Linked DNA regions of Styela clava. The protein of the gene in region 2 interacts with the protein of the main gene of each other region in a pairwise test. Links are inferred from orthologs where the notes say so. Each region holds a gene or a part of one and is shown on either strand. Other genes may lie near its edges.

Region 1 (11,640 bases), on a different chromosome or scaffold from region 2:
AAACAGATTTGCTTAGATGTGGCGCTACACTGTCTCATGGAAACAGATGGATGGATAAGTTTAATTACATCTGCACTAAGAATAGTAAATTTGTAATTCATACCGATCATACGCCATTAGATGGAATGGTTTTTGTGACGATGATGGCTTATACTGAAGCAATACTACAAGATATGAAGAAACAGAAATTGATGGAATTGTGGGATGCTGGTAGGTTTGATGATATTTCATGATTTGTATTTGACATAGTTATTTGCTTATTCAGACCCTTTTACTTCATTAAGTTTCACAAATGCTTTTATGGACAATTTTTAACCGTGATTTCGCGACACCCTAGGATTCAACCAGTACAGTCCAGGGGTTTTGCAATTTTATAATTAAATCTGGAAGTTTATATTAAAAAACATACATCAGATACAGTGGCGCAACCAGGCCGTTTTCAACAGGGGGGTCCGACCGGAATTTACACAGTGCAACCACGACGTAAGTCGCAACGCCACTAGGGGTCGCCTAGGTGTCGCCCCGCTGGCCACGATAAATTGCTCATGGTTAAAAGGGAAACGCCATCGATTAAATCCCAGCCTTTCCCTTACCTTGCACTCGTTCATTAACGGCGCTTCGCTATGTCTTGCACTTCGTGGGTAGCAAAACGCTGTTCATTACATTCCAGCGAATTGCTAACGAAAAGGTGTTAATTATTTTCAACGTTTTCCTCGCTTTGCGCCTCGTGGATAGTAAAACACGGCTTGAATAAATTCCAGTGTTTCCCTCGTGCCGCGCCTTGCTCGTTGGATGAATTCGTCAAGACTAAAAACAAAATGCACTTCTTGCGAATTGACCTTTTCCCGACCCTAACCCCGGAAAAATTCTAAACTAAACTGAAGCTCACCGGAAGACATAATGACAATTGAAATAATTGATTTGCAACTAATTTTTGGAAACACAACTAAAAACTGACTAATTTAATGCAGGGATGTCCAAATCGAATTTAAATTCAAATATCGCAAACTTCAAATACTGTTTTTCGTGTTTATAATAATCCCAAATATGGCGCACATATCCTAGGCGTCGTCGTCCATGTGTGGTTCGGCAATATATTACAGCTGAAATGAAAGAATTTCGATAAACGCCGACTTGAAGAACTTATAAGACTTCGAGGACGTTTTTGATTGAAAATATTTTCTTATCGAGTATTTTAACTTAGTCGAGATGGTTTAGGCGTCCTCGGCAAATTGTGTCTTAATTAGTTGTTTTCATCCTCAGTTTCGATAGTGACCGAACATAACAGGAAATTTTTTCATTTCTTCTAATTTAGCGCGTATAAAATAGCTCTTAAATAGTATTTAATATCTATCGCGGATTTCGTCGGCATCCGGCATTGATAACAACATCAGTTCAGTTAAAGTTAGCGGTATTCATTTACAAACAAAAATACATAACAGCCGACATGAAATATTCAAATCAGCGCAGAATTCAATAATAAAACACGTTTTTTGGTCTTAATATGCACATAGAAAGAAGAAAGGACAGAGAAATAACGACTAAAAACTAAGAACGGTATGGTATGTTTGTGTACTTTTGTTTACCATCGTCATCATAATCGAATTAGTTAAACCCGATTCCCAAATTTCCGTCCGCCAATAATGGAGGATGAAGATGGAAAAACGTGTTTTACTTTTTGAGTCAGCGTTGATTTAAATTTTTCATGTTATGTGTTTTAATTTTTTGATTATAAACCAATACCTCCAACTTAAAATGAACGATATTGTTATCAACGACGTCAGGACTCGGGATAACGATAAAATCTCCGATAGAAACCAAATAATATATAGAAGCTATTTTATAGATTGCAAGAAATTAAAAAATTTGACTAAATTGAAATATACGATAACAAATGTAAAAAATTTTCAACCAAAAACGTCCTCGACGTCTTATAAGCATTTCAAGTCAGAGTTTATTGAAAACCTTTCACGACGACTGTTAGTTATTGCCGTGCCACACATGGCTGCTTTCGATTGCGATAAAAAATGAAATAATTGTGGAATGTTTTTAAATCAGAACGTGGACGGGGGCGGGGCGGTAGGATGTTTACGGCGTTTTCGGTTTTCGGCCTTTCATATGTAGAAAATCTTAGGTTATTCGAAGCAATATTTTTCCGAAAATAATTTTCGTATCCAGATTTTCAGAGTTTCTACTGCATTATTATAACATGAAGACGGGTGGCGTTACATTGCGTCAAGATGATAAAGCACAAGAGAGAGAGAGATAGCATTATGCTATTGTCGCTTTCAATTCGCATCGACAGCGCGCGATTTCTACTTTTTTGAGATAACATATCTCATTTTCGAATACAAACATATACGCGGGGTTAGCGATTATTACGTAACTATCAGCAAAAAGGTATGATTGAAGTCGGGCGGTGTTAAATTACGTCGAGGTGATAAAGCACTGGAAAAAAAGTAGTTTACACCGGATTGTTATGACCGTGGAACGACGTTGTTTTAACATAGAACAATAATAAAAAAAAAACGAAATTCAAACGGGGAGGACACGACCCCCCGTAACCCCCCAGCTGGTTGTGCCACTGATCAGATATAGTCGAGTATCTATCAGGTTTGCCACTATTATTTAACTTGCTACACTTAGAAGATTCTTTTGCTTTGTCAGTACCATGTTTGCTTTTATATATATTTATAACTCAAGATTAAGACAATAAAAGACAAACTATTTCACAGGGTTTCCATTCCGTTTGGTTGAGGTTCCGCTCTATCATAATAAAGCTGGAAACCGCTGATTTAGGATTATTTATTGCTTTCCAGATCAAACGCCAGTTGATTCTCCTGTTGAACTTACATTTGTTTTGGATGAAAAAATTAAAAGCTGGATAGCAGAGGCTACAACAACAGCTGAGAACCTCAATTCAAATTTTGATTGTTACTTTTTCAACTTTCATCAATTCGGAAAAAAAGCATTGAAAAAACTGAAACATGTAAGTACGGTACTTGCATGTGTATTCCATTGTAACACTAATTCCTATTTACAGGTGAATTATTGAATTTGGTTTACAACCATTTCTTGCCTTATTTTGAGAAAACCTTGCTAACTCAAATTTGGCTGATAGTTACGTAATATCATGCATTCACATTGGTAAATCTGCTACCACAAAGCGTTCATAGTTTTCAGAACTTTTATCTTGAAATTGATTGTGTTATATATCGCAAATATGTTCGTCTGTTTGTCAGCCTGTTACATAATAATTTGAATAGCCTACACTTAAGAGCAAACCTGCATGGGGTAATGCTACTATCCTACAAAACGGATTATTAGGAGGAGTGGCTAAGCGATAGTAATACGCTTGCCATCACATCTCTTATAACCTTGCATGGGTTTGCATCATGAGGGTAGATAATAATTTGCGAAGAAATTTCTCATTGTAGGGTGGTTAATGGTAACCGCTGGTCGGTTACGACTATCTCCACCATCAAATTCATCTGAAACAAATAACTGGTCAAATTTTTGATACCAGTCATGAACTGGTAACCAGACGGACGGCCATATCATAACGCGTCTTATCAGCTTCCCTCTGAAAATTGTTATCCTAAAAAACTAAAAAAATGTTGATTACTTTTTCCAGATTCATTCATGTGCATTTGCACAGATTTGCATTCAACTTGCTTTTATGAGAAAACATGGCCGTCCTGCTCCGACTTATGAGACTTCAACAACTCGAATGTAAGGATACTAATTTATATTGAGTGCTGAGCAGGTGCTTGGACACTTTTCAATTCATCCAGGGTGAAGAAGATTGCCGGACATCTCACCACTGTTGGGTGATCGGTTACGGCTTCCTCCACCATGTCGATACATCTGAAACAAATAACTTCCCATCTAATCCCATAAACGACACGAATTGGCAGCTGAACGAGAGGCTGTAATACACCTTAAGCCTCCTCATTGGCTTTCTTCTGTCTAGGAATAAATGAGAAAATCATTCCCTATCTCAAGTCCAATACTGATTCTAAATTCCACAACAAAAATATCAATAAACTACACTTTATTTTCCAGCTTTTATCGTGGAAGAACAGAGACCTTACGTACTTGTACCCATGAAGTTGTTGAATTTTGTGAAGCAATGATTTCTGGTTTGAACTTTTCGCTCTTTAATAATAAAGACGTATCGATAATATCAGTTATTTTACTGATATCGGTATAAGCTAAAAATAATATAATTTCTATACATGGAATGATCATGTGTGGAGCATTCCTGCCTCATCAATTTCTTCAGAGTTGGTGAGTGATGGCTCATAAAATGAATATACATATATGTATGTCACTATGTATATTAGCCGGCCTGACATAAGTTTTCTAATCAAACGTTTGCTATAAATTGCTTAATATAAATGCTGAGCATCTTTGCAAACATACAAAGTTAAAATGTAATTGACAATGCGTATTGTTTTCGGTCAGATCTTCCAAACAAGGAAGAATTGTTCATGAAGGCCTGTGATAAATATGTTTGGTTGATGGAGGAATGCAAAGCAGGAAGAGGATGTGATCGACATATGCTTGGTATCGCTGCGATAGCAAATGTAAGATGCTTTTTATATGAATAACTTTGATTAGTTTTTTTTTCAGATGAATATAGTGTAATGCAGTGGTTTTCAACCTTTTCAACAGTGTGGAACCCTAACAAAACATTTCGTTGGTGAGAGGAAGCCCCTGGGAAATGGTTTAAGTGTCTCTTATTCTCTTGAAATGCAGCAAGTTTACCAATATTGGTAGCCATAATTGGTGTTTGATGATATTCAGTCAATATATATATTAACATAGATTCTCGGATCTGAATGGAAACCCTGGGCTGCACTGCCTGAAAATCATGTTAGTTCATTTCAATTTTGCAGGAAAATGGTGAAAAGCTACCTAAAATATTTTCGGATGCTTCATTTGAAAAATCTGGAGGAAATGGAAACTTTGTTCTTTCAACAAGTTTTACAGGATACACCAATGTGAGTATCAGCACACAATTTTTTCTACGACAGATCCAAAAAAACAGAACACTTAAATTTATTAATAACTTCTACAAAAACGGAGAAAATTTATTTGACAAGCGAACTCTGTGTATGATTGTACCCAAAAGTTTCAGTAATCTACGACAGGGTTTCCCAAACTTTTTGAGCCGCAGACCCCTGTTTGTGAATCTTATTTTTGACGCACAACCGTCCTATGCCCTAATGATTCCTGTTCCTAACCAATGAGGAAGGATAATGTTTCATTTAGAACACAAACGACATTATTGTGATGGATGAAATTGCCTTTCACTGCACAATTTATCGATTATCGGAGCAATTTTATGAATGAAACTGCGGACCCCAGTTTGGGAAACCCTGATCTAGGACGTTTTGCACAAAAGTTGTGCTCTTCTATAATCCAAGATCTGTTTCTTTGTGTCGCCCTGTATTTGACAAACCCTATAGTCCAACTCAAGCAAATATGCCAAAGTATTGAGTAATGATATTGAAACACAGTAACCATTCATTTCAATGGCTCACAAGTGGTAGAATGACATGGTTTGCTGCCCAACAATTTTCAAAGGCCCCTTCCATGATAACCCTATTCAAATGTTGAATGTAATTTCAAACTTCTCACATTTTTTGCAAAGTTTGATCTACATTTTGATTTCTAATGACTGCTCTACTCTCAAATGGTAGTAAGTATGCTTTAAGCTTTCTATTACATTTTATGTAGGCTGCCGGAGGGGTTGTTCCAATGCGAGATGATGGATATGGAACATTCTATAAAATAAACAACAATTATATGACCTTTGTTGTCACGACGATGAGAACTGGACCAAAAACAGATGCAAAGGATATGGCACTGCAGATTGGAAAAGCTTTACAAGATGTCTTCGATTTGATGGTGAACAATTATTCACGTCTGTAATTTTCAAGTTTAATTATTTCAAAAATTTTTTAGTAACAAAACTCTATGCTGTTTATACTATGATATAGGTGCTTTAATTCTCTTTCTGTTGTACTTTTTTACAGTAACCGTGACCAGATTGTACCAATTTTCTTTGTTACATATATTAATCATACAATTTAATTGTTTTGAGTTGGTCAATGGCATTTTTGCTCTGAAATTGTCTTATTCATATATTCCTGGTCCATTATTCTGCTGATGTTTTTTCATTTATCCTTGAACCCCAATGATATTTATACACTTTCAATTATAAAGTACCTGGAAGGGATTTAGCATGATGGGGTTAGATGTCAAATTTTCTTTGTTTTATTTTACTCAAGTGATGTCAGTTACAGAGTGTAATCAGTAATATTTGATGAATACTGTATACCATCAGTGCCCCCCAAGTTGGCAAGATATTTTTTTATAAAATTAAGCAAATTGCTACAGTATTAAATACTTTAATATTATGTTCTAATTATTCCCAAAGTTATATTGGCTGAATTTATACGGTTTTAAAAATCAAATTTTCGATGAATATTTTTGTCTGTATATTAATATCATATCTATCATATTTTTCAATTCTCTAATTCTTTTTTATTATCCACTGTTCGATCTATGCATTGTAGCAAATGACCGTTTAATGGCAACTAATCCTCGTGAATGGTGAAATTATTATCATTGGCTGCTGTAATCATTATATATGCAATAATTGATTATAATATATTTGAGTGATGCTGTGTTGACTAAAGTGTAGAATGGAATCCTATGAACTATCAGGAATTTAAATGACTTTCTGACGAGGGTGTAGATGTAACTCTTTGACAGTTTGTGCCATACAATTCAATCAGACATAAATACAACTGGGGGGAATTTAAAATGGGAAAGGTGAAGTTGTTTTATTGGGCCGGTTTTGTTGTTGTGAAGTGATCACCTAAATATTTTTTTGTTTTCTAATTCGTGAGTATCGTCGAACATAACTCGTGTAAATCGGAGATATGCAAAGTAAATGTGAAATATGACGCTTAAGTACGCAACGAGTAGCGCCCGCGCATCATGGTTTCTGCCAATAGACTATTCATTCTTAGAGACTAATAATTAAGATACGCGTCTTTCCAAAACTGAGTGAGTGTTGAGGCCCTGGGCTTCAGCCTGACCGAGTGCAATGGTCAGTGGCCTTGAAGTTGGTGCCATCACAGGAAAGTACCGGTATACCGCGAGATATTGTGCGAATCACGGCTTCTTTGTAAAATGCCTAGTGAATTATCGGGGTGCAATTAGACATGATTGAAGACGCGCAGCGGAGGGTGAGGCACGATGGCGCACGAAATGTCGTAGTCTGCGCCATTATATTCTTCAAAAATATTTTATAAATCAGTGGAATGGGTACTGGTACCGGTAGCGTGTGCTATGACCAACCTAACAATGTTCAGTAGTTTATTCGCCGGTTACCGTATGCCATGATATTTGTGTATATACTCAGTCCACCACCGATAAGATCTGAGGAGTGAGGATTTGTTTTGGCTTCTTGTCTTGACATCTACTTGGGAACTTTTACGCATTTTTCTATTTTGGAGGAAAGATCGGGAGTATATAGACTATTGGACTACAGAAAAAAAGCAATATGGCACCTCCCAAGTCGCGAAAAATTGCTATAATGGGATACCGATCAGTGGGTAAGGCTGTGAGTTGGGTTTGCGTTAGACAGTTCTGCAGTTAAGGCTCTTTTTATTATTCCAATTTTCAGTTTGGCAATTGCCCTTCATCCGTACCGGTACCGGTACGCCTCTCTCTACTTTTTCAATATACAGATAAGTGAATTTAGTGTAAATTTCACAATCACTAAACTTTAAAATTAATAAACATAGGGAAAGCTTTTCAAAATAATCATTTCTTCATTCTTGTCATAAATTTTTCTCAAAATAACATGAGTTCCAAAGTTTTCTGCAAACATCTGTATATTCTGTACAATAAACTCATTGTAGTTTTTTCAATTTGTGTTACAGGGAAGTCGTCCATAACCATTCAGTTTGTTGAAAATCAATTTGTTGATTCTTATGATCCAACAATAGAAAATAGTAAGTTCTGAACTAAAGTTTATCATTTTTATTTATTGACTGGTTAGATTTCTTTGTTCCAACCATCAATAATACGCAGATACATTACTTTAAATATAGATGAGCACCATGCAACTATGCTATTCAATGCTGTATACCAAACTTCTGGATTTTTATATTCAAATAATTTCATAATTAAGTAGCCCATTTGACTTTGTGATCAACTATAATTTATGAATTTGAATTATCAAAATAGGAGCAAAATCATGATATTATGAAATATTTACATTGAGTACATTTTTAAACAACACTAATTCTTGTATGCTGTAGTTAATGTTTCCATTTCTAGATAGAATTAAGCCTGTTTTAATATTTTCAGAATAAAGCCTTTTCTATCTGGTTTGTGTATAAAATATTAAATTATTTTGTTAATTCATGTATTTGCAGCATTTACCAGATCACTGAAAGTAAATGGACAAGAATATCAGTTGCAAATTGTTGATACTGCTGGACACGTATGTTTGTCAGTTTATATTATTTAGATTGCTAGATTTACAGGATAGTTTAAAAGTGTACAGTGTTCCCTCTAAGGTGTGCGCGTGTGCACGCGCACACAGCTTTCAGAGGCTGCGCACACGCATAGATTTACTGCGCACAGACGTATTTCGATGTAATGTAACAATTTTCTCGGTTGGCAGGTTGAGAAAGTTTGTTGTTGGCCCACCCATTACCCGGTTAGAATGCCAAAATCTCTTCATTGGTTTTTTTCCAAAAAAGTGCGCACACATCAAAATTTCTGCGCACACATACTACAGAAATTAGAGGGAACATTGAAAGTGTAACACATGAATTACATATCTGCGATTTTGTTTTATTAGGGAAGGTTTGTAACTGAACTGCCCTGATCACAAATTGTTTTGCTCAAAGTCATTCTGCTCAACTAATAGTAGCACCCTACATATATTGAGATACTCAAATATTTTTTTCATTCGGTAATGTTTTTTTGTTTAAAATAATTTTTTCGTTTTTTTCCAGGATGAATACTCATTGTTTCCAGAAGCTTATACTCTTGATATCCATGGATATGTTTTAGTGTATTCTGTTAATTCAAATAAAAGGTGAATGTTAGTTATCGAAATAGCCAAGTATTGAAATATGTTCTTTGTACAGTGTTAATACTAGTACATTAGTTTTCAATCCATTATCAAAGTATGGACTGTAAGAACTATTACAAATTTTTTGAAATACCAATTATTGTGTTGACTTAGCTGTCTAAATTGAGTAAAGTTTGCTACTTAAAATGGAATTTTATTTTATCAATATGAAAATTCTATTATTATAGTACACCAGTATAGTAAGTACACCTGTTGTCATCATAAGCCTTACCTTTTGAATGTAATTTAAGGCACTACGTAACCTTTAAAAATATTTGACATGTTCTCCACATGAAGCTTCGAAGTTGTCAAAGTGATTCATGAGAAACTACTCGATATGGTCGGCACTGTTCAGTGAGTGTTTTGTTATTATTTTTTATAGGTTAACATGGCATAATAGAAAAAGCATATTTCAAAACGTCTATTTTTCTTTAGATTTTACAAGGAGATTGTTTTTTCGTTATTATTGTTTGTGGATGACCATCAACATCAATTCTTGTATTGTGTACAATTTGTACATTTATTTCATTTAAATAGTAATGAACCCAATATCTATGCAATTTGGGAGTTTCTCAAAACTGAAAATTTCCTCATTTTATTGTTCTCAGAGTTCCAATTTTACTTGTCGGAAACAAAACAGATTTACACAATGATAGAGTTATATCAACGGATGCCGGGAAGAAATTGTCTCAATCATGGGGCGCTCATTTCCTCGAATGCTCAGCTAAGCACAATATGGTATGTGTAACAATTGTTTAGATCAGGGGTGTGCAAACTGCGGCCCATGGGTCAAATGCGGCCCACGAGGAAAAAATGTGCGGCTCACACTGGGAAGTATTTTGGATGGTGTGCCTGCGAAACGAGTTTTGTAGTTTCGATAATCTGGCACATGCGAGCAATTCCAATCCCTTCGCGTCGCAAACCCTATACCTTGATTTACTAAATAGGCTGTTTCATTTTTCAATTATTTGCATTTTTTTTATTTTATCCGCGAAAAATTTATAGATTGATATTTTTTGTAGTACAGATAAAATCATTTATCAATATTTTGAATGGATTGCACAAAAGAAGCACTAATATTTCATTTCAGTTTACAAAGTAATGATATTTCAAAATATTTTGTTATACATGGTTTAAGACATTTAAAATTACTGATGTACAGTGAAAGTTGTAGATAAATCAAAAATGCATGCGCCTATGCATTAAATATTGAATAAATAAAGAAGTTTTATTCATAGCGATGGAATAATGAAGTGTTTTAAAATAGGCAGAGGAAGGAATATGACGACAAAGATTGGGAATGACTGACCTATACTGTAGTTTATTAGGTTTCTTGAATATTTTGCAAATCTCAAATTTCTTGCAATGTGTGTCATTTTCAACAGGATGTGCAACAGATATTTAAAGAAATAATATTGGAAATGGAAAGACAAGAAGGGAATATACCTGAAGAGAAGAAAAATTGTTCAATATCATGAACCAAACGCGATAGGAATAAACTGGGTCGTTATCTGACAGAGGGTGAATATCGCTCCGCTTGGAATCATATTTTTGTGGAGGGAGCTAATTCAATTCCATGCATGATTAAACATATGTAAAAATAATATTCTGGAGTGATGGTTGTTGAACCATGACTATTTATTCCATCTATTTTAAATATGATTGTATTGTTTTTATTTTAAATACAATTTTTTTTCTATTGATATAAAGTACCTTGAATGCTTAAACAGGTTTTCTAGACCTAACCTTATTTACTTGTGACCAATGGGATATTGTCTGTATCATGGTACGAGAAAACTTTCGATAATCTTGTCTAATTGTATGTTTGTAAGTATTCCTAAGAGTATATTGTGTAATATAAGAACAATGTGTAGAAATTAGATATGTTTCATTTTGAACGGCGGTGGCGTTATGTTTATTATTAAATGTAATACTTATATTCATATTCATTGTTCTTGTAGACTTTTTGGCCATGTTTGAAATTTTCATTGCAATTTTCTTTGATCGTTTTTTTCAAATTTTTGTTATCACGTGCACCTAATCCGATTTTGTACTGTACCTAACTATAAAGATGTTTCATAGTAAGTATGTTTGGCATTCCAGTTCTTGAAATTTGAAACTTGATGTCAGTCTTATTATTCTATTTCCATTTCTTTATTGTGCTATTCACTGCATGTGCTAGTTTTTCAGTGGTAACGCCTGCTTTTATTGTCCACTCGATTTCAAATATATTGGCATAAAGTTTTAATTTTATCTCCAATGTTCATTAGGGAGTGGTTAGTTTCAATAGCTGCGGTAATCAAACTGATGTTTATTATTGAACGTAAATCAGCTATACGAAGATAGCAAGCTATATTAAGCAATTTTCATTAAATCGTAATGATTTTGCATCATAATTCCAACTATAAAACATGAATACGAAGACGGGAAACAAAATCTTTTGACATTGGCGAACTTAAGTTATTAAGTAA
Region 2 (11,716 bases):
CACCCTCCTTGCACAACTGTCACTAAAAAGGACCATATTATACATATTTAATTTACCTTATTATAATTTATACATATCAAAAGGGGTGTATGCCGCACATTCAAGTTTTAGGCCAGTATTGTCTTGTGCATACATACTGTCTCAAGTATTTATAATTACTAATTCTTTTATATTGCTTTTACGAGACGAATAAACATACATACAGTTGCACGGGCATAAGTGAAGGGACATAACTAGACCTACCATACGTCCCGGTTTGGCCGGGACAGTGCCGGTTTGGCCGGGACAGTGCCGGTTTGAACGTCTGTCCCGGCGTCCTGTCCCGGTTAGCAATATGTCCTGGAATTTTACTTTAGTGAAATTTTCAAAATTAGCTCCAACCTGATGCAAAATTATGAAATAATTCCGTCCCAAAAGGCATAACTTTGCTTTAACTTGCTGACTTGAGGCTTATTTTAATATCTTAATTTTTTTAGCTTATTAGGTTGAGTAAAATATCGGGGTCTCATGTAGTTTCGTACCTAACGTACTTCTAGTGGGCGTAGCTTGACAATTTTTTGATATGTCAATCCTAACCCCCATATGATTACGCCATCCAAAAATTAAATCACTACGACATCACAATCACGTCATAGAGCTTGCCAAATATACGCACGATCGACCGGAATGGCATTGGCGCCGACGATAAAGAACTGACTGACGTTATCGGTCTCTCTCCTATTTGAATCGTTGCGACGAGAAAACGAGAGAACTAACTGTTCGATTTCATGTGCTCGTTTGCGCATCTTGGATGGCAGTTCGTATAGTTTGAAGGGCTCTATTACGTCACTGTGACCTCGTAATGACGTAATTTTTGGATGGTGTAGTCCGGTGGGGGTTAGGATTGATACGTTAAAAAATTGTCATGCTACGCCCACTAGAAGTATGTTAGGTAAGAAAGTACATGAGACCCAAATATCGCACATAGCTTGAGAAATCTTTTAGTTAGGGAATAATGAGTGACGTTTATTGCGTCATTATTCTATTGACTTCAATGAAACTACAGCAATTGCTGCATTAGAAGCCATTTTAGGTATGCTCCAGACTGGATTCCATGGCAGATGCACGCCCGAGGGCGCTAGCGCTCCGCAAAAATGCACGCGAGCGAAATCAATTTTGCACGCCGAAAATTTGCAACTGCTCACCAATGTAAATCGGTTTAAATGGTTTTAAAATCAATAATCCAGTAATATAAAGATGCCAAAATATTATAACTCCACAATTGTCGACAAATACCAGCCTGCAAGATTAGGTCTGATCGAAATACTGAGAAGCAAAAAGACCATGGACCTTTCCCCAACCTTTGACCCGCGAAAAATTCCTCTCATTGTTACGTCCTTTTTTGCATCTTGCTGATTGGCCAATGTCACGAAGTAAACAAGGAAGTCGATGCTCGGGGAAAGGTCCATATCGTGTTGAATGATAGGAAATAGGAATCCCGTGAGAATAGTTATGGACGAAAAGATCGCCTCTGCACCAATGGCCAAGTACGGCTCTGATTCAGCGTATTTTTCATAGAATAATTTTACACGAATGTACTGAACAGTACACCGGTATCTAAAGTTGCTCAAACACTCCCAAAATTAGTGACAAAGTATGAAAATAATGTTTGGGGTCAAAGGTCAAACGTCCATTTTGCTCTAATTTGACGTATTTTTTATCCATTAATTCTACGTAAAAACACTACCAAAATTAATGACAAAGTATGTCCATTTTGCTCTGGTTCAACGTATTTTTTATCCAATAATTTTACGCGGATGTACTGAACAGTACCGGTATCCAAAGTCGCACAAACACTATCAAAATTAGCGACAAACTGTAGAAATAATGTTTGGGGTCAAAGGTCAAACGTCCATTTTTTCTCTGATTCAACGTATTTTTTATCCGATACCGGTAATTTTACGCGGATGTATTGAGAGGTATCTGATGTCAAATATGGTACCGGTATGGATTAACCTATATTCAATGAATATAAATTGGACTATATATGATACAAAACTCCGGTAATGGTATGGTTTTATATTTTAATTGTTACATATATTATTGAACTTGTGGGCAATGTGTTTTGAAATTATGAAATTGTTTTAATTGGGTGCAAATTATACTAATTCGACAATAAAATTAATATACGAAAATTCCGTTTGGCATTGGAATTTATTTGGCAAAAAAAAAAAAAAAAGGTATCTGATGTCAAAGTCAGTTGCACGCGAGTGCAGTTGTTTTGCACGTCGTGAGCTATAATTGCACGCCAGGAATTCTTATTTGCACGCGGGAATTTCTGATTGCACGCCCGATTTCTCGTTCAAAAAGGCCATGAAATCCAGACTGGGGTACCGGTATGCTTGGAGTTGGAGAAGGCATAATAACTTTCATTTGATTTTGTTTAAGTCATATTATGCTGCAAGTAATCTAGAACTTGAGATTCTGTAGAGTAATGTAGTACAGTAGTACAGTAGGCTAACAGTACGGTGAATAGATTCTTTTCACATACTGACATGGACTATACCGTAAAACCGGCTAACTTCGGATGCCTTGTAACTTCGGATGAAATTTTCAATCATTCATATCTCAACTAAATTTCGTCGTATTGCGCTTCTGTCGGTTTCTATAGTAAGGCCTTACATATCTGAATCTGCCGTAGCCTCCAATCGCTCGATTTGATTTTTTATCATTCGAAAAATCATATTTTACCAAAAAAATGACACCGTTTTTTCGAGCGGCTCAAATCGTGACTTCTACAGACGCTACCTTCGTCAAATCACCGCCAAGCGCTAGAGAGCGTACACAATGTATACAAAAAAATACAGTGATCACAAGGTGTCGTACGAGATTCGAGTGAAATCGATTATTTTGATTTAAAAATTACATCAAAATATCGACGTTTTGATGATTACGTACAGCGTGACGTCAACGACGCAAATCCCGTTCTCTCTCTTCGTAGCCGACGTCACTTTGCGTAGCTTGTGCGTTACTCGCTGCGACATTTGAACGCCAGACATCGCGGCGCCCAGTTTTGTGAAATTTAAAAATTATGCTTATCCATGATCCTAGTCACTAAATCCTACAAAAACATCACTATCGTCTCAGTCATATGTTGTTTATTTAAAAATATGGCTATGCATACGCTTAATGCATATGAAATTTGTCGATTTTTGTTTTTGCATACTTCCTCCGACACCGATAGATACCGTAGCAATTGGTAATACGTTAGGCCTGAAACATGTATCTATACGATCATAATGATTAGATATGTCTGTTTATGATCGGCAGATGATAATAATATCTTTAACAGGTGAGCGTAGAACTCTACATACATGCACACAGCAGGAGGTTGGACCACATACAGGTGAGGCGCAAAATGAAAAAAAGTGGCAAAGTTTCTTTTTGCCGTTTTTATCCGTTCATTGTCATTTGACTTTATTAAGTGAAACGAAAGCGAGGATCGAAAGTCACACCGGGCAGGAACCTCTGCCGAGCCGATCAACGGGGAGCTCTGAGACAATCAGAAAATATGAAAAGTGATAATCAAGACGAAACCTGCTCTGCTTGTGGATTATGGAATGATCCAAATGGAAGTACGGAAATTGAGGATGAATGGGTCGGTTGCGAAAGCTGCAGCGAAACACATTGGTTCCACAAGAACTGTTGCAAAGACCCGTCTAACCCATGTGGAAATGATTACAATTCTTGATTTTGCCAGCGTTTCCTTCAATTCATCTGTTTATTTTTAACTGTCGAATTTTTGTTCATACCTTACTTGTTCCATATTGCTTTTTGATTTCAATTTTTACTTTTGCCAGTGTTTCATTCGATTCATCCGTTTATTTTTAATTGTCTAATTTTTGTTCATTCTTTACTTGTTCCATATTGCATTTCAATTTCAACCTACACCAGTGTTAGGTACTTTCAATTCTTCCGTTTTTTTTTTTGTTAATCCTTTTCTTGCATTGAAAATAAACGATCATAAAAGAACGAACTAGCATTTTGCAATAAATTAGGAGTAGTTAGTGAAATATATACGAGTTATAATAAAGGACACAAGAATAAATAGTTAAGCTTCGCGAAGCGGCAAGAGTAACGTCACGTAGTAACGTCACGTACAAACGTCAGTATTCAACACGCAAGACAGGTCGTGGCGGCGTAAGGTCTATTCAGCGACGTTGTCACGCGTCATTGCTTACGCAGACATTTCTCTCTCACGACGAGTTGACGCAAAGAGAAAAGTGGCCATCCGAAGTTAGATAATTTTAGAATAGACGAATAAAGACAATAATTTCAATGAAAAAAGGCTTTGATGGATATGGAACCGACTTTATCAAGACGAGAATAGCCACAATGTATTATATTCCAAATTTGGCTTCAGTTGAACAACATGCGGCGGAGATATTGTTCAAAATATAGTGAAATCATCCGAAGTTAGCCGGTTTTACGGTAAGCGCTAACTGAAGTCTGGAAGTAGTTTAGTTTCCTTTAAATAAAGTGATAAAATACTTCATTAGGCAATATTAAAGCTTATAAATATAAATATGGAATAAAAATTTGCCAAGCTCAGGCCTTCGGCCTTTCGCCCAGTAATTTCATTCATAGTTTTGAGTTTGTCCCGGATTACGTTCGGGAAATTATGGTAAGTCTAGTCATAACGGTATAATTAAATATTTAATAGAAAGTGAAGAAAAAAAATCCTCAACTTACCAGTAAGTATATCCTTAAAAACATACATCCCGAATGATTAATTCCGATTAAAATAACAAAATCCAACGAACAAAGAAATATAAGCAATCGAGGGAGAGCTCGGTTGAAAAGGATCGGTGAAACGTCAAACACAAATTATGCTGTTATATCCCATGCGCATAAAAGACAAAGTGTACGCATAAAATGCAAACACTGAATTGTTTTCGTTGTTTTGCGTGGTTTCATCGACAGTTGATTTCTTCGTTTATTGGACACGTTAGTGAACATAATAATCGTTTTGCATCATTGTTGGACACGTGTGTGGTAGTTGAATTGAACACGTGTAGTCGAATTGTCGATGACAGTCACTGTACCGACATTTGTACCCCGATTCAGCTGGTGTTAAGTTGACGCATGTTATTTAGTAACGTTTTTATGTGAAATGTTTGACTCTGGTTTGGTACCTGATCCGGCAATACGGTACATAATTGTCTCATATCACAAGATATTTCAATTGATGTTTCAATAAAATCAAGAATAATGGATCATTGTCACAGGATCCAAAATATCTATGACAGTCCCTGTACCGTCACGGTAACCCGATACAGGTACTGGTAAGTTACCGCATATGATTTTTGGGGATTTGTTCTGCGTGCCCATATATTTGAGCATTACTCTCTTGTTGGACACTTTAGTGGACATAACGATCATTTCAATATTATGTTGTTGTTACTTTTCTTATTTTTCTTCGTCACCATCATTAATATAAAATCGCTTTTTTCTTCGAATACTGGACCAATTGCTTCGAAATTTTCAGTAGTTAAAGTTTTTTTTTTCGATTTTTTTTTTCAGAAGGCTATTACATTTATTTATTCCTAAATTTCTTACGAATCCTATCAGATCTGATATTTCATTCAAAATTTCGCTGTCCTAAAATTTACTCATGGGAACACTGTTTTAAACTTATTTCAGGCGGTTGCGTGATCGAGCTTGCAGGTACGGTACTGCTCAGTTACCGTATCACAGTGAAATTGACTTATTGGACACGTAGTGGACATAACGATCGTTTCAATATTATGTTGTTGTTGTTCTTGTTATCCTTGTTGTTGTTCTTGTTCTTTGACACGTTTTTAAAAAGTCGCTTTTCTCTTCGAATACTGGACCAATTGCTTTGAAATTTTCAGTGGTTGAAGATAAAATTTTTCTCCAGAAGGCTATTACTTTTTTTTTCGCTATGACGTCATCAAAATTATTGCCATTGGGTGGCGCTACGTGTCCATATATTTGAGCATAGCTCTCTTGTTCCTTTCGCGATCTTACTATTGCAGTAATGTCAAATGTAGGTTTTCTGTCAAATTTAACCTACCGTATATGTTAATTTTGATAAGAGCAAATTGAATTGATTTTTTATATGCCAGAGAAGAACCGTTCCACGATCGAATAGCAGGCCTACAGTAGCCTACAGGCAACAGGTACTGGTAAGGTACCGTACGGTACGTCTGTGAATTACGCTCTCTCTTTTCGTTACAGTTCTGATGTAAACAACATAAATCATTACCACAGGACATGGAAGAGTTATGACAGTCCCCGTACCGTTATTTGTACCCAAGTACTAGTAAGTCAGTTACCATAGCCATGTACCTGTTTCACTGTTCAGATTCGTGCAGTTTATCGTACCGAAGGCGTAGGGTATCTTATGGTTTTCGGTGAAGTGTTGATAATATATTTCGTTTTATTCAAACTGTCCATATATTTGAGCATAGCTCTCTTGTTCTTGTTGTCTTCTTCTTCTTCATATCGTTTTGAAAAAAATCGCTTTGATTACTGGAACAATTGCTTTGAATTTTCAGTGAGTGAAGATTATATTTTTCGCTAGAAGGCTATTATTTTCATTTATCGCTTTTTTGTGTGCCATGACCCCTTTAAAATTTGCCACTATGCGGCGCTACGCATTCATATATTCGAGCATGGCTCTCTTGTTGTTCTTGTTGGCCACGTCAGTGGACATAACGATCGTTTCAATATTATGTTGTTCTTGTTGCCTTGCTATCTTTGACACTTTTTGGACATCTGGTGGAAAATCTAAAAACCGCTTTTCTCTTTCATTACTGGACCGATTGCTTCGGAATTTTTACTGGTTAAAGATGAAATTTTCTCCAGAAGGCTATTACTTTTATTTATTTCAAATATTTCTGTTAGCTCTGTGAGATTTGTTTTTGTTTGCTATGACGTCACTGAACGTTCGGCGGACGCATAGCCGACACTCCTCTTCTTTTTGATCACGTGACATCGAACGTCGATGGTTCGTAACGAAGTCCTTACGTTACTTTGCTACGATTTCTTCCTTACGCTGATCGACTGTACGGTAAACCGTACTGTACTGCGAACAGACGTGTTCATATATTTGGGCGTAGCTCTCTTGTTATTCTTATGTTCTTTGATACGTTTTTAAAAAGACATTTTTCTCTTTGATTACTGGACCAATTGCTTTGATATTTTTAGTAGTTAAAGATGAAATTTTTCTCTAGAAGACTATTACTTTTATTAATTTCTAATATTCCATTGAACTTTATGCGATTCGTTTTTATTCTGATCTATGACGTCATCAGAATTTGCCACCACGTGGCGATTCCGCAAACACATATTGATCACGTGAACAGGTTCCGTGGTCAAGCCTGCTGATAAGTTACCGTACCGTACCACAGTGAATTTCAGCGTAAAGTGTTCATATGTTGGACACGTTTAGTGGACATAACGATCGTTTTGTTGTTATGTTGTTCTTTGATACTTTTTGAACACCTAGTGGAAATATTAAAAAACCGCTTTTCTCTTTGATCACTGGACCAATTGCTTTGAAATTTTTAGTGGTTAAAATTGAAATTTTTCTCCAGAAGGCTATTACTTTTATTTATTTCCAATATTTCTGTTAGCTCTGTGAGATTTGTTTTTGTTTGCTATGGCGTCACTGAACGTTCTGCGGACGCATATGCAGGCACACCTCTTTTTGATCACGTGACTGTGGTCTAGAAATTAGAGCAGGGGTCGGCAACCTACGGCCCGCGACGCTTCACTGAATTATAGTAACAAAACAGCTATTTTGACGATTATATTCTTCACGTTACACAATTCATTGTGAGACGCGTGTAGACTAAATTATATTTTAATCTAACAAGTATAAAATTCACAATTACTCGTTTAATAAGCCTATAATTTAATTATAATTGGGCAAAACGCAGAAAAGTTGATGCTAAGTGCAAATGGTTCGATAGCGCCGAAAATATTCAGATGGAATTTTTGAGATGTAATGAGGAAACAAAATCTATACTCTATTCTGAGAGATGTATCACTGCTTGATTTTTATTATAAAAAGTATCATCCGTTAAGTTTTCAACTTTCATAAAATATGTGCGGCCCGCCGAAGACTTGCAACCCCTAAATATGGCCCACGAGCGACAAAAGGTTGCCGACCCCTGCTCTAGAGGTACGGTAAACCATACTTCACTTGTTGTGAATATATTTGTAGACTGTGGTCTAAAGGTACAGTAAACAGGTACTGTACTGCTTCGCTTGGTGTGAATATATTTGTAGACTTTGGTCGAAATGCTTCGCTTGGTGTGAATATATTTGTAGACTTTGGTCGAAATGCTTCGCTTGGTGTGAATATATTTGTAGACTGTGGTATCTGCTGTTATAATACCGTAATAAATCAAATAATTTAGTTTTGCGAAAAAGAAGCGTCTGGCATTACAGGTAGGAGGAGAATAGGGGGGTGCGCATTTCCAATAGCCTACGTCGATATTATGTTTGTCAATCAATTTGCAACCACCGTGTTTTTGTCTGTTTGATTGCTGTGATGTGGTGCTTTGTTTATAATTTGGCGAGTTTTGTTCGAATTAACCGTGTTCTTAAAATATATGACGGTCAGAAATGCAATTAGAAGCCCAATGTTTTTAATGATAGAGAAGTTCTGGTACCGTAACACAGCGCTGTGACACTGAACTAACTCGTAGCAGTCAAAAGCTTGAAAATCCATACAAATATAAGAGATAAAAATATGAAACTTGGCAGGTGGGTAGAGTTGTGTTTCTTTTAACTATCTTTGAAAGTTTCGCGTTTTTAGATTTGAACGAGGGGAAATAGGGAGGTGCGCATTTCCAATACGTCGATAATATCTTTGTCAACCAATTTGCGACCACAGTGATTTGTCTGTTTGATTGTTGTGATGTGGTGCTTTGTTTATACAGGTACTGGTAAGTCACCGCATATGATTTTTGGGGAATTGTTCTGCGTGTCAATATATTTGAGCATTGCTCTCTTGTTCTTATTTGTATTTTTCTTGGTATCGTTATGAAAAAATCGCTTTTCTCATCGATTACTGAACCATTTTCTTTGAAATTTTCAGTGAGTAAAGATTATATTTTTTGCTAAAAAGGCTATTACTTTTATTTATTCCTAAATTTCGTATGAAATCTGATATTTCGTCCAAAATTCGTTGCACTATTTAATCCATGGGAACACTGGCTGTCCGGTTTGATTCTTTAAATTCTTGCTACGCAAAACTCGGAAATTTTTTGAGAGAGATTTCAAACTCTTTTATAGCCAATTTTGGCAGGAAATTCCCAAAACGTTTGAGAACGCGCGCCCAGCACATGGCCATGTTATGTAAGATAATCACCAGACAGGCATTGTGACAAACAAGGGGATTCTGGAACATATATTGTGACATCACAAAGCGATAGAGTTTTAAAAACACTACGGAGATGCCTATACGAAAAAGGGTGATGAGTATCGTAGATTTCAACTTGGGCTGCGTGTGAGCAACCGTTCAAGGCCCGCAGCGATTACATGCAGCATCAGAAATCACATTAAATGTATATTGACATTGTATGTGTTGACTTTTGAGTAAACATTTCAGGCCTGATTAAGTGAAGAAATGTTATATGGCTCGCACGGAAATGAAATTGAAAATATGTATATTTTATGGCTCTCTTGACCAAAAAGGTACCCGACCCCTGATTTAGTGCTTGTTGTTCACGCTAGCCTAATATCGCATTTTTTTACGGTCTACTGATTTTGGCATACTGATTTTGGTCTTGGATGGTCCTACATCCGGGGCTTTGCTCAGCTGCTTTCTAGGATTTTCGATGTGAAGTGTGCTTATCTCAGTTTAGGGTTAGTAATGCTAAATTTTGTGGGTTTCTGGCCTATATGGGTTTCATCAGACAAACTTTATATAGATGTATGATTTTATATTGTTGCAGATTTTGTTGTGCTATGTACGCTGAACGTTGTTAATCGTTTGCTATAATACCGGTAACTGATATCTCAATTTTGCATTGTTGTTTGCCATCTTCAATCTTTACAAAGAAAATTACATTGCTGCATTGGTTTTCGTTTCTACAACTTGGTGTTCTGTGTGTTTCACTGGATTGGGTCATCGCTGTCAGTTTTTCAGTTCAAGGTAGACGCATTTCAACCAGCAAACTGGCAAACCAGAGAATTAGGCAACATCAAATCTTAAATTATCAATAGAAAACGCTGGCATCTCAAGGGGTCTGGCGTGGGATAGTTCTAAATGATCACTGTCCTGAACATTAAATTAACAACGAGGTACAAGTTTAACTAAAGAATTTAAAACTATATCGTATATAACAATGGCTGAAGATTCTGCACCGCAAATGCAACATGTGATCTCCTCTGGAACACCAGTTGCTAAGCATGACGATGCAGGCTCAACTGGTTCAGCTCATTCTGTTATTTCTAATGAGTCTGTGCGTGCAGAATACAATCTAAAGATGGCTCAACTCAAGTTGGAGCAATTTGATCAGGAAGAGAAACTAAAATCTGAGCTGTTAGAAGCAGAGAGAAGAAAAGCTGCTGAATTGCAAAGATTTCGGCTTGAACAAGATTGTAAGGAAGCTGCTCTTATGGCTGATGTGGAATCTAGTGATGGTTGGAAGTCTGTTGACTTGGCCAATACAGCTCTGGGAGATGCTCAGAGGCCTGTGGCTGTTGGTTCCTCAAATGTCAAAAGGAGAATATGTAAGAATAGGTTTCCTGACGAATTCAATTCTACATCACCTGAAATGTCAGTTCAGGAAAAAGTTCATTTTCTGGGAAATGTTTCTAGACCCAATCAAACGGTTAGTCCATGCAAAAATGTTGACAATTCAAAGAGTAAGGCTGAAACGCAATTCTCTGAACATCTATACAAATTGACTCAAGCGATGCAGCAAGGCTTTTCACTTCCTCGTGCTAAACCATTATCATTTGATGGTGACCCTTTGAACTATTTTTCATTCATGAAATCTTTCGAAAATTTGATAGAAGGCCAGGCATACGATTTTCGCACTAAATTTCAACAATTAGAACTTGCATGCATTGGTGACGCTAAAAGGGTTATTAAGCGTTTTACCTATGAGGAAGATATCGAAACTGCATATTATTCTGCTTTGAATGGCCTAAAAGAGGAATTTGGTCGCCACGATCAAGTTATTGAAGCTTATCGTAAGAGTTTAACTGAGGGCCGTGTACTAAAGATGAATGATCTGTCTGCATTGCGGGAATATGCTTCTGAATTGAAAACATGCCTTGCAGTTTTAAAGGCATGGAAAAAGCCAAATGCAATGGATTTAAGTGAATTTCTAACTAGAATTTTTGCACGTTTGCCAGAAGATCTTCAACGAATGTATTTTGCGGAGCTCTTAGCTTCTTCAAAAAGGTCAACGTTTGCTACTTTGGTAGACTTTGCTTGCAGAGTAGCTCGGATTACATCTGACTGTTGTGTAGCGTCTTACATGAAAAATGCTGCTCGGGTATCTGATAAAATTGCTAAGAATCGAACAAGGGATGCAATTTACACTGCAGTTTCGTCATCCGTTGACGATCAACTTGAAGCATCTGATGCCGTTCCCAGCTCTACTCTTCCAGAATGCTTGTTTTGTAAAGACTATCACTCCATATATAAATGTGAGAAATTCATAGTGGAGCCTGTTGAGTCTCGTCG
Region 3 (10,785 bases), on a different chromosome or scaffold from region 2:
AACACTGTCAATTGTGAGCGGGATTTATCTTTTTATCCATTACCATACTTTAAATTGTCAGATTGTCGTATTATACTGTTATACAAGGTTGGGAACGCGACTTTTTCCCAGGTTGTGATGATATATAAGATAATTAATCTAAAGTATATTCAATCAATTTTTATTGTATTAAAATTATTTTACTCAGTGAGATTTTACAGCAGATTCACTGATTTCTCGATTGGTTTTACTGTTTTAGCTTAAAAATAATCGGATGGCAGCATTGCGATTAAGCGGAGTCAGTGTTGTATGTATGTATGTTTATTCGTCTCGTAATAGTGATACATAAATAAATGAACAATTATTATTATTTAAGACGGGATGCACGCACAAGACCTGGCTGGCCTAAAACACAAATGTGCGGCATGCACCTCTTTTGACAAATATGAAACAAAAAACATTAGATTAGATATGTATAATATGCTCCCTTATATAGACAGTTGTGCAAGGTGGGGCAATGGGTGGGTTGGTGTGGTGAAAGTGGTAAGGGTGGAGTATACAAACTGTATATACAGGGGGGCAATTCCATGGAAATGGGGACAAATTAGAAAAAAATAAAAGTGATCAATCCTGCATAAACAACCAAAATTTTCATAGAATATATCTTGGAGTTTTGTGAACGCAATTTATAACAAACCTACAGGGACAAATAAAAATGTGACAGTCATGGAGAGTTGGTGATGCATTGACCCCAAATTTCGCCATCATAAGTCATTGAAACAATCTTGGGGTTTTAGCCTTAATGACGTATCATGAAAAACCATAAATTATTTGATATGTTGGAGTGGCATAACCATTCCCAAAAAATAATTCAATTTTGTATAATACTATTTCTTGGCATCATTAGCCGCAATCTACTGGTAACAATTTAAATGTAGCGAAAGTACATTTTTTTGGGCATTTTTTTATTTATCTGAAAAAAAATACTGTAATTCTTTTTTTTTAGCAATACACCATCTTCCTGTAGATAGCTACACATACAATATGTGCACATTTTTATTTCTCATGGTTGTATAAAGTTTTCAATATTCAATGTCATATTGTGTAACGCAAGTACCAATGTAACGTAAGTAACGAAACAAGAGAAATGAAAATTTAATAAATCAAAAAGGTTTTAATAATAAAAGATATATGTTTTGGATATTTAGTTTTTATTCTTCCCTGGGAGTTTATAAGACAAGACAATATATATAAATAGAGACAACACAACATCAAATATACATATATTCATAACAATGAAATCAAAATTTAGGCGCAAATACAGCACCTTTGAGTGGTAATATAATAATATGCTTGTATGTATGGATATGCTCGTATCAAATAGGCCTGTATTGGTCATGGATTGATTGCTTCGCACAACAGAAAAGTCATTATTCGTTGAAAAAGTCAGCTCTTTTAACAAGTGGCGTAATCGCGGCGACTTTTCCACGTGAATTCCGAGGCGATAAATATGTATTTTTGATTTACTGATATACTTGTATTTTATTTGATAGACAGGTATTTTCATTGTTTGAAATAAAATTGTACTCTACGGACTTTATATCAGTTATTGAGATTTTTCTAACGGCTATAACGAGTTCGCCGCAAGATTGCAAAAATACGTATCAAAATTAAATGCATTAGGCAGTTTCACATATTTTTATATCCAGAGATCGCCGTGGTATTTTACGTGAGTGATGTTTTTATTTTGATATGAGAAGACGCAACCGTTACGTTGGACTCAACTAAATTATTATATTAGGACATTTTAGAACATCGTAGTTATTATAAATTGAATATTTTATGCAACAGAAAAACCATTATACGCTGAAAGGGCGACTCTTTTAACGAGCGCGCAATCGCGGTGACCGTGACAGACGGCAATGGAAGGAATTTCCGATTTTCAACCCCCCTCCCCCTTTTTGAAAATCCTGGCTGCGCACCTGACTGATACCTACCTTTTTAGTCAATTAAAACTGATACCTGTGATACCTTTTTTAGTCGGGGCCCCTGGTACGGTACAGAACCGGTAGTCCGGTATGTTAATAAATTACCGAGTTAGACGAATGCTGGGATGTCACATTGCTCATCGAAAGAGAGACGTTGTATAATAAAATCGAGATCTGTTTGTGATTTATCTTCAATAAGAGAAAATCCGAAAATGATATGGTAACTTACCGCTAGCGACCGAGCCTCGCACGATGTTGATAAACGTATTCCAGTTTATTACATCCAGCCTTCTGATTTCATACCGGTACCGGTCGGTACCAAATTTTCGATAGTCAGTACCTGCCGTGACGCACATGCATTTAAAAAATTAGAACCCATACTCCAATATCTCAATCTTACTACAGTACCGTACCATACTGCCATATGCTCAACTTATCCATTTAATAAATCTGCTTATGTCTGTATGTACCTCCAGACTTCTATGCTAAACTTGATTCCGTGGCAGGTGAACGCAACACGCCTGAGTAGACTTGTGCTCTCAAAAATGCATGTGAGCAAAAATCAATTGAAGGGGAGAAAATTCGGAAAATGTGTCAATCCTAATAACCCCCACCTGACTAAGCCACGCCAAATGCTGGTTACCAACTAAATGGCCTGTCTTGAAAAGCAAGCGCAAAAACTACTTCGCCTGTATAAAACTGTTTATCACAGTTTGTTTGTTACGATTATTTAACCTATGCGAAATTCGCAACATCGCCATCTTGCGTGACAGGACTGTGCTTCAAAGCACCAGTTGGCATGTTCCGTTTAAATAATTTAAAAATTATTTGTCCAAATTTATATCAAATGGGGCCATTCTGTCAGTTGCACGCTAACAATCTACAAACAATCTTGGTAAGTTTGCACACAGGCTCAGGGGTTTGGCATGTCACACTTTGCACGCTGAGATTTTTGGATTTATTTCAGGATCTATACGAGTTGTGTACTAAAGTTGTTCATCCAGTTTACAAGCAACTTCGTTCCCATAGCTACAAAAACCGTAACTACTGAACTTGCTAACTCTGAAATGTTCACTCAAAGTCAGTTCTGTAGTTAGTTGCATTATACACTCCAAATACTGAAATACAACCACTGCTGCACTGACAGTTTGACTTTTCAGGGCTCTGAATCTACTGTATCAAGACTAGCAAAATGATGTCATACATAGACACACATGGCATGGAAGAATTTGACCTATCTAAAGAGAATACGATCAATGATATATTATATTTCTAACTAGATTCAATACAATTAAACCATCATGATAAAGTTGCTAGACACTTAGAAATCGTTTCTTTTTTGTGAGTTATAGTAATCGCAAAAATATCGATAATAAATGCAACCAGTGATAAAAATCTAATTCAAAAATCCCCACATTCCAATCATGTATTATGTTTTAGCCTATTATCCCTTATGGTTTTTTGTTTGTTTTCGACAACTTTCCAAAGGAAAGTACTCAGCTATTTGGATTAAATATTATTAATCTATTGCTTGCTATCATTTTTATGTTTTTTTCTTGAAATTTGGGTTTCTGGAAACTTGGGTAGCACATCACCCGTCTATATTTTTTCAATATTAATTATGTTAGGTTATTAAAGTCAATGATCTGGAATTTGTCGTAACGCAACATAGGTAAACCACCCTATGCTATGCCTGAGAGCTTGGGCCAACACTGCTGTTCTCATTTTATAAACATTAAATTATGAAATTGTTGAATAAGGTACCGGTGGCGGTAATTGTGATTGAAAAATAATAGCTTAGTGGCGATATTGACTAGATTAACTAAACATAGCCTACTTTGTCAGATTTGTCCTAAACGTATTGCAAGTTTAGCATGCAAAAATCAAATAGCAATTCAGGATAACATATTTCGGGAAAACCAACAGGAAAGACCTCTGATGTTATTTTCAATACACCAGGAAACAGCATATTATGCTGATTCAGTTAATGGAGAAAATTACCAATTTATTGCAAAGAATTTTTTGTTTTAATTGATGAAAAAACGTTTTCAATGATGAAAAAAGATTTGGGTTTATTTTGAAATATTGTAATTCCATAAGAATAATTGAATCAAAGTAACTATTTGTTGTGGATATTGCAATAAGTCAATATCAAGTGAAATTCTAATTGCAACTCTATATGCCACGTGTATTTATTTGAAGTTTCTGGCTCATTTGATACTTTTTTGAATAAAAATTACAACCAGTTGGTTTGAAGATCATATATAAAAAATTCTACGAGGTTCGAAAGCATAGAGATAATGTAAAATCATCAATTTGAAGCAATAAAACTAGCCAACTATGACTGAAATCCTGGAGTAGAAGTCCTGGAGTGTTATTTCCAATAATACATTTTAACATTATTGTCTTAATTTCTAATCGAAGTACAAGGTATGATTAAATATATACCAGTATAATCAACTGAATAACCTGCAGAATTTAGGCAAGAATATTTATATATTCTCTTCTTGTCATTAGGATCATAAACTACGAATTTCAAATTCATTCACTTAAAACAGATGCAGAGGTAAAATCAGAGATATGGATTAAGGTTGCTTTTAATAGTTACGGTAATCATGACATATTTCAAGCTATAAGTGGTTTAAAACAGTGTGGTTTCTGAAAATTGGAATATTTTTACAGTCATATATGATTTAACTTGCCTTGAGAAAGTATAGTGAACATTTTATGTATGTTTGACCAAAATAATTTTATGCCTATGGCATTGGTTCTCAAAATTTGCTATGTACGCCCCGAAAATTAACAGAATTGTGTTGTTATAGCTACAGTACTATATGGTTGAATATTTTACATATCGTTTTATTATAATGTTTTATTGTTTCCTATTTTAAATGCTGTGTATATAAATCAGTGAATTCATTTTTACCTTTCTATGTTGTTTACTTTCTGTTAGGTAGTGTCTGCCTCTATTGTTATGTAACAATGGAGATAATCCTAGTTGCTGCTATTTCATGAGCTGCAGTTTATTTATCTTCTGAGTTTAGCAAACATGTTTTTAGTATTCCGAAGGAAATGAAAATAAAAGACATCCCCCCAAAATAAGCCCTAGTGTTATTTTTCGAAAGAAAATTCAAATAAAACCCTGCCTTATTTTCAGGGAAACACGGTATAATAAAGTACTAGACATAGGGCTTTGTTCTGCAATTGAGTTGACAATTTGTTAGTTTGCAGACACAGTGTAGGATACACATGCCGCAAACCATTATCCATATTGTCAGTTTGTCTGGTTAAGATGACACAGTATCAATGTCATTATTTCATTACCAAGTTAATTCTGTTAGTTCTGTTTTATTTTAATCTATAAAGAAGATGTTTTGTAGGGCTCAGACTCTTCAGTTTGGAACAATTCCTCATTCTTGGTTTTTCAACTTATTTGGTAATATTTTATAGAAGTGCCTGAGGCAAAGGAACATATCTGTTCTTATAACATGAACTATCATCACTTGTGACACATCTTTCCCCTCAGGCAAAATCTGGTATTTCTAGTTGACAAATTTTAAGATGAAGACTGTAATTGCACTACTTGACTATGCCATGAAATTATTGAGCTTTTAAATGACTTATAGTATGTATTAGGCTTCAGTTAGAGTAAAATATTAGAGTTATTTATATCATATATATAACAATATAATAGTTGTCAGTTCATCCATGGTTACACTGTGTCGTATCGCAGGGAATATCATTATCGTAATCAGTGAGATTGTATTTGAGAATAATGATTCTTATATTATCTTAGCCATAGCATATTTTCATAACACCTCAATGTGAAAAGGTTTCTTCCATCAATGAATACTACACAGTTATGAAATACTGGTGCATTAAAAAAAGTTTTGAGGTTTTCAAATTAATAATGTTCGAGAAACAATATAACTCATTACCAGTAGTATGTCCTTGGTCAGATTAACTGCGAAATTACATTTCCATGTTCCAAACAGTATGTACCGTAAGTTTCTTATTTCAGAAGCAACCTAGTCAAAGGTCTAAAGGTGTTTCACAAAGTTGTGGTAAAAATTACAGTAACTCAAATAATCTTTGTAGTTGATTTGTAGTAATATAAATTGTAGACTTACTATTTCTTCTCTATTGCTTTTCAATTGGTGTATTATAGCAAATATGAATATTTTTTATTTAGTCTTATTAAGCCGTGCTTAAATGCTGCACATATTCACAAATTATGATTTTTAATTGTTGTGGCCAATGTCAGGCCTCATCAGGCAATTTACAGCATTGATCGAACACATTTTTTTGTGTGTAAATTGTTATGGTGGTTATGATTAGTTCTTATTAAACAGTAGAATGAGTTTATTCCTGTTTTACAACTTTAGTCTCCTTAGACCAATTTTATGCAATTGTTTTTGACATGCCAATTTCATTTACAGCTGATGACTTATATAATATAGGTTATGTGATACACCTGCAAAAACATACAGTCTGTAATTTTTTATTGCTTACTTGAGGTTTAGGAAATTTGAAGTTGTAATACACAAGATTATCATCATGTCTTCTGGGCTCATTCAACGGAAGACAGAAGCTACTATGGCTGCAGCCCAGATGAAAAAGAAAGAAAGTCGTAGTGATGACGAGAAAAGTGATGATGATAGGTTTGTAGTTCATTTTTATGTCTAGTTCATTTTGCCTACGTTATATCTATTGCATCAGAAATGCTCTAGCCAAGAATTTCTCAAAATTATCCCTCCACATATAGGAGGGCACAGAGCGGCATTGTGGAGGTCAAGAACAGATATTCACTAGGTCACCGTTCATGATAACTGCATTAATTTAGAGTAAACTGAGAACGATTTTTTTGTTTATTTCACCGTAATGCATTCTTTTGCTTTCATTTGTTGGCTTTTTTTGTGTTAAATTAAAATAGCTGATGGCAATAATAATTTCTAAATTATTCTTTGCATTTTCCTGCTGTTCATCAATTGAGTTGTTGATTTTCTTTTGAATTAAACACCATGGGAGATATATTTGCGGTAGACAAAGTGTTTTTTATTATTTTTCAAGTAAATATACGTCAGAAACTCAGAATGGTGTGTAAAATCGGTTAATCATAACCAGCCCTACTGATCAGCCATACAATCAATAGTAAGCATGTTCTTGTCGCTTATTAACACATTGCACCGATCGTGGATACTTATTAATTGTAAACAATAGCTACAACCTACTGTGCATTTTTATTTCATGTTCATTGTTCTTTATTTGAATGGTGTTGTATTTCAATTTTAACATAGAGACCTCAGACACCCATCGCTAGTTATTCTGTGTTTTTACTGACTGTGTGCATACTCTATTTCAGAATGTCTGATAGTGGGGACAAGTCTATGCGATTAACTTTAATGGAAGAAGTTCTTCTGATGGGTTTGAAAGATCGTGAAGGTTACACATCATTTTGGAATGATTGCATATCATCAGGATTAAGAGGTTGCATTCTGGTTGAACTTGCTTTGCGTGGAAGGATTCAGCTTGAAAGGCAACAAGCAAGGAAAAGAAAATTGTTGGATAGGAAGGTTCAGAAACATCTCTTCACCAATCTTTAGAAGTTTTATTTTTAATTACTCATTTTGAACAGATTTTATAGTAGTCATAGCAAGCAAGCCTGAAGTTGTACCACTTATTTAGGGAATTGAGGTTTAGGTATTAGAGTTGTTAGACTAAATTTTCTTTATATTGTTTTTTTACTTACCGTACACATTTTTTTACGCAAAACTCTGAATTCCAGGTACGATGTAAAAATGACGCACCTACTGGGGATGTTATCTTAGATGAAGCTTTGACACATATTAAGAAAGGAGAAACAGAAGAATCAGTTCAGGTATACATTGTTCTTTGGTCTAATAATATTTGAAAATATTTTACATCAGGATGCAAATTACTGGGCGGGCAACATTTGCGCAGGTGCTATTTTGAATTAAATTTCCTTCCGTTGGATATCCAATATATAGATGTCAAGCGGAATAAATACTAGAAATTAGAATACTCACAATTCCTTGATTTCACCTGAAATGTTCAAAAAATGTAATTGCTCCGATGAAAAACTTCCAGTTATACTAACTTTCATTTTTTTCCTGAAACAACAACTCCCAACAACGAAAAGAAGAGAATTCCTTCTTCGAATGGTCCGATGTGTATATAATGAACTTTGTATGACACCAGTCTATGAAGGAGCCCAGAGGATTTGTGTCTGCTTTATTCCAATATAGTGACATAGAAAATATCTCTATCAAGCATATTGTTGGCTAAATCAAACCACCCATTCCTAGTCGAAGAGGTGAACTAATATTCGAACTGAATGCCCGTTTATGGTAACCATTATTGAGTTCAATCGTTCCAAATTTGATGTGGTGCCAAATTATTTAATTTCAAGGTTTTTTTATACAGTTTTTTTTAAATATTATCCTAAAAAATTTGAGTATACTGAGTTACAAAAGAAAAGCCTTTTATGACTACTTGAATAAGATTCAAACTGTTTAAACCACAAGAAAGTACAGAGTTAGAATGTTACAAATGAAACCATAATTTCATAGAGAATTAATTTTACATCGCTTCTAACGTCAAAAACTACTCAAATAACCAGACCCCCTTATTGAAAACATATAGCACCAACTGCACAATATACACTTTTCATTTCGGTGATGAGTGGGTATTTGATAATGAAGATTATCAGATTCAATCTTGTAACTTTGTTCCGATGATTAATATTTTGCAGGGATGGATAGATCTGCTGTCTGGAGAAACGTGGAATCCTTTAAAATTGCAATATCAATTACGAAATGTACGGGAACGCCTTGCCAAGAACCTTGTTGAGAAAGGAGTTCTAACAACTTCAAAACAGAATTTTGTTTTATTCGACATGACCACACATCCTGTTGTCAATGATGATGTAAAAGCAAGCCTTCTAAAAAGAGTTCAAGATGCTGTTTTAACTAAATGGCCAAATGATGTTGAAAAGATGGATCGGTCAGTTTCTCATACTATAGTAACTTCTTTTTTACAGTGTAAAACATATGAAACCTCAAGTGATGCATTACTTTAGTTATATTTGAAAAATCAATCATGCTCACTCCTTTTTGCTTTCCTGCTAATCAGTGATTTGTGTTGTTGAACTTTGTGCCAATATTACTGGTTGGGTGAAACTCTGGCGGTTTACATGATTTGTAACTGTATGTGGGTGGGAAGCCCACATAAATAACAAATTCCTCTATTTTATTTTCGCGAAACCTGGTTTTGTTCGGCGCATCGTGCACTTGATTACTGTACTCTGCGTGCTTTCGTAGGTTTGAATCACGTGGGCAATTATCACACACGAAAGAATTGCTGCCGTAAGGCACGGTAGTTTGCTTACCTTATTGGTCGACAAAATACGGCCGGACGCTCCATTAAATGGACCTTTCCCCGACCTTCAACCCCGGAAAATTCTTTCTATGCTTTACCATTTTAAAATTTTCGGTGCTTATTTTAAGAGTGGTTTCGCGAGTTGTCGCCTGTAAAATGGGGTATTTCAAACTATCATTCGAATACATACCATTCAACAATCTATTTTTTTAAATTACCGGTAAAGAATTTTAGCCTAGTCTATCACAGCTATTTTCACTTTAATTTTTGATTACTACAATTAAACTGAAACTCCTAGGAAGACAAAGTGATCATTGAATTATTTGATTTTTATTTAAATTTCCGAAACACAACTAAAAACAAACGAATCTAATTCAAAAACAGAGAAATTGAGGTAATGTTTACGACCACGCCTGAAAATCTGTCTGAGCGAAAAAAGCGTCTGAGCGGATGCAAAAGGGGGCATTGTTACGTTTATTTTTGCATCTTGCTGATTGACCAATGTCACGAAGTAAACAAGAAAGTCTATGCCCGGGGAAAATCCAATACGCAGACAAAACGACGTTTTGACAATGAATTGATTTTATTTATAATCTACGCTCAAGAGTAAATTACATTTTTTACGTAACAGAATTTATCGTGAGACACGTTTAGACTAAATTATAGCATATCCTAACAATTTAGTGAACAGCTACTCGTTTAATGAGCCTATAATTTAATTATAATTAGGCAAATGACAACACACAGAAAAGTTGATGCTGAGTGCAGGGGTTCAATATCGCAGTAAATATTCAAATATATTGCGATGCAATGAGGAAATAAAATTCATATTATATTCGAGAGAATCATCACTGCCTAATTTTTGTAAAAATGTATCTTTCTAAGGAAAATTTTTATCAAAATTTTAAAAACCATGCGAAAATATTGTGCGAACAATTATTTTCGAAAATGAACATTACAAAGAACAAGCAAAGAACTAGGATTAGTCATGCCCATTTAGAAATTGTTCCTTGGCGTCGTAAGGCTATTAAGCGTGATGCAGCAACAAGACAGTGTCACATCAAATGCCATTGTAATAATTTTTTTAATAAGACGACTGAGTTGAGTTCATGAATTGTCGCAGTTTTTGCGCGCTGTTCCGTTTTTAACTTTCAAAAAATATATGCGACCCGCAAAAGACTATCAACCCCTAATTTTGTCCCGCGAGCGACATAAAATTTGCCGACCCCTGGGCCGTAGCCGATAGTCAATCACGGCTTTTGCCACATCCGAGTCCAGGAATCTAAACGAATGGCTGATTAATTCTATAACCTGGAGGCCATGGTACGATGAGGAATCGATGATGAATTTTACCGAAAATCTTTATATATAATGTATTTTGGTACAGGTCATCAGGCTGTATGGATGAATGAGATGTACG

The links.
Region 1: the proteins of translationally-controlled tumor protein homolog (region 2) and GTP-binding protein Rheb-like interact in binary tests that used the Drosophila melanogaster proteins (3 or more experiments, as listed by UniProt). The link is inferred for Styela clava from reciprocal best matches to the Drosophila melanogaster genes Tctp and Rheb.
Region 3: the proteins of translationally-controlled tumor protein homolog (region 2) and Golgi phosphoprotein 3-like interact in binary tests that used the Drosophila melanogaster proteins (3 or more experiments, as listed by UniProt). The link is inferred for Styela clava from reciprocal best matches to the Drosophila melanogaster genes Tctp and sau.

Annotation. Positions count from the first base shown.
Region 1 is NC_135252.1:17,679,922-17,691,561, reverse strand, and holds GTP-binding protein Rheb-like, read left to right. Parts: upstream 1-7,310; 5' UTR 7,311-7,582; coding exon 7,583-7,634; intron 7,635-7,964; coding exon 7,965-8,036; intron 8,037-8,462; coding exon 8,463-8,530; intron 8,531-9,050; coding exon 9,051-9,133; intron 9,134-9,466; coding exon 9,467-9,523; intron 9,524-9,777; coding exon 9,778-9,907; intron 9,908-10,554; coding exon 10,555-10,647; 3' UTR 10,648-11,417; downstream 11,418-11,640. Other genes in the region: peroxisomal carnitine O-octanoyltransferase-like, read left to right, coding at 1-210, 2,820-2,989, 3,635-3,732, 4,066-4,142, 4,468-4,589, 4,902-5,006, 5,746-5,940. UniProt on the Drosophila melanogaster protein: Binds GTP and exhibits intrinsic GTPase activity. Activates the protein kinase activity of TORC1, and thereby plays a role in the regulation of apoptosis. Stimulates the phosphorylation of S6K through activation of TORC1 signaling.
Region 2 is NC_135256.1:19,373,396-19,385,111, forward strand, and holds the start of translationally-controlled tumor protein homolog, read right to left. Parts: upstream 4,889-11,716; 5' UTR 4,760-4,888; coding exon 4,732-4,759; intron 3,928-4,731; exon of another isoform or gene 3,731-3,927; coding exon of another isoform or gene 3,465-3,730; intron 3,386-3,464; coding exon of another isoform or gene 3,289-3,385; exon of another isoform or gene 2,817-3,288; intron 1-2,816. Other genes in the region: uncharacterized protein LOC120327874, read left to right, coding at 3,289-3,385, 3,465-3,730; uncharacterized protein LOC120343863, read left to right, coding at 10,365-11,716. UniProt on the Drosophila melanogaster protein: Involved in calcium binding and microtubule stabilization.
Region 3 is NC_135252.1:1,474,166-1,484,950, reverse strand, and holds the start of Golgi phosphoprotein 3-like, read left to right. Parts: upstream 1-6,391; 5' UTR 6,392-6,524; coding exon 6,525-6,628; intron 6,629-7,329; coding exon 7,330-7,540; intron 7,541-7,752; coding exon 7,753-7,845; intron 7,846-8,739; coding exon 8,740-8,990; intron 8,991-10,785. UniProt on the Drosophila melanogaster protein: Phosphatidylinositol-4-phosphate-binding protein that links Golgi membranes to the cytoskeleton and may participate in the tensile force required for vesicle budding from the Golgi.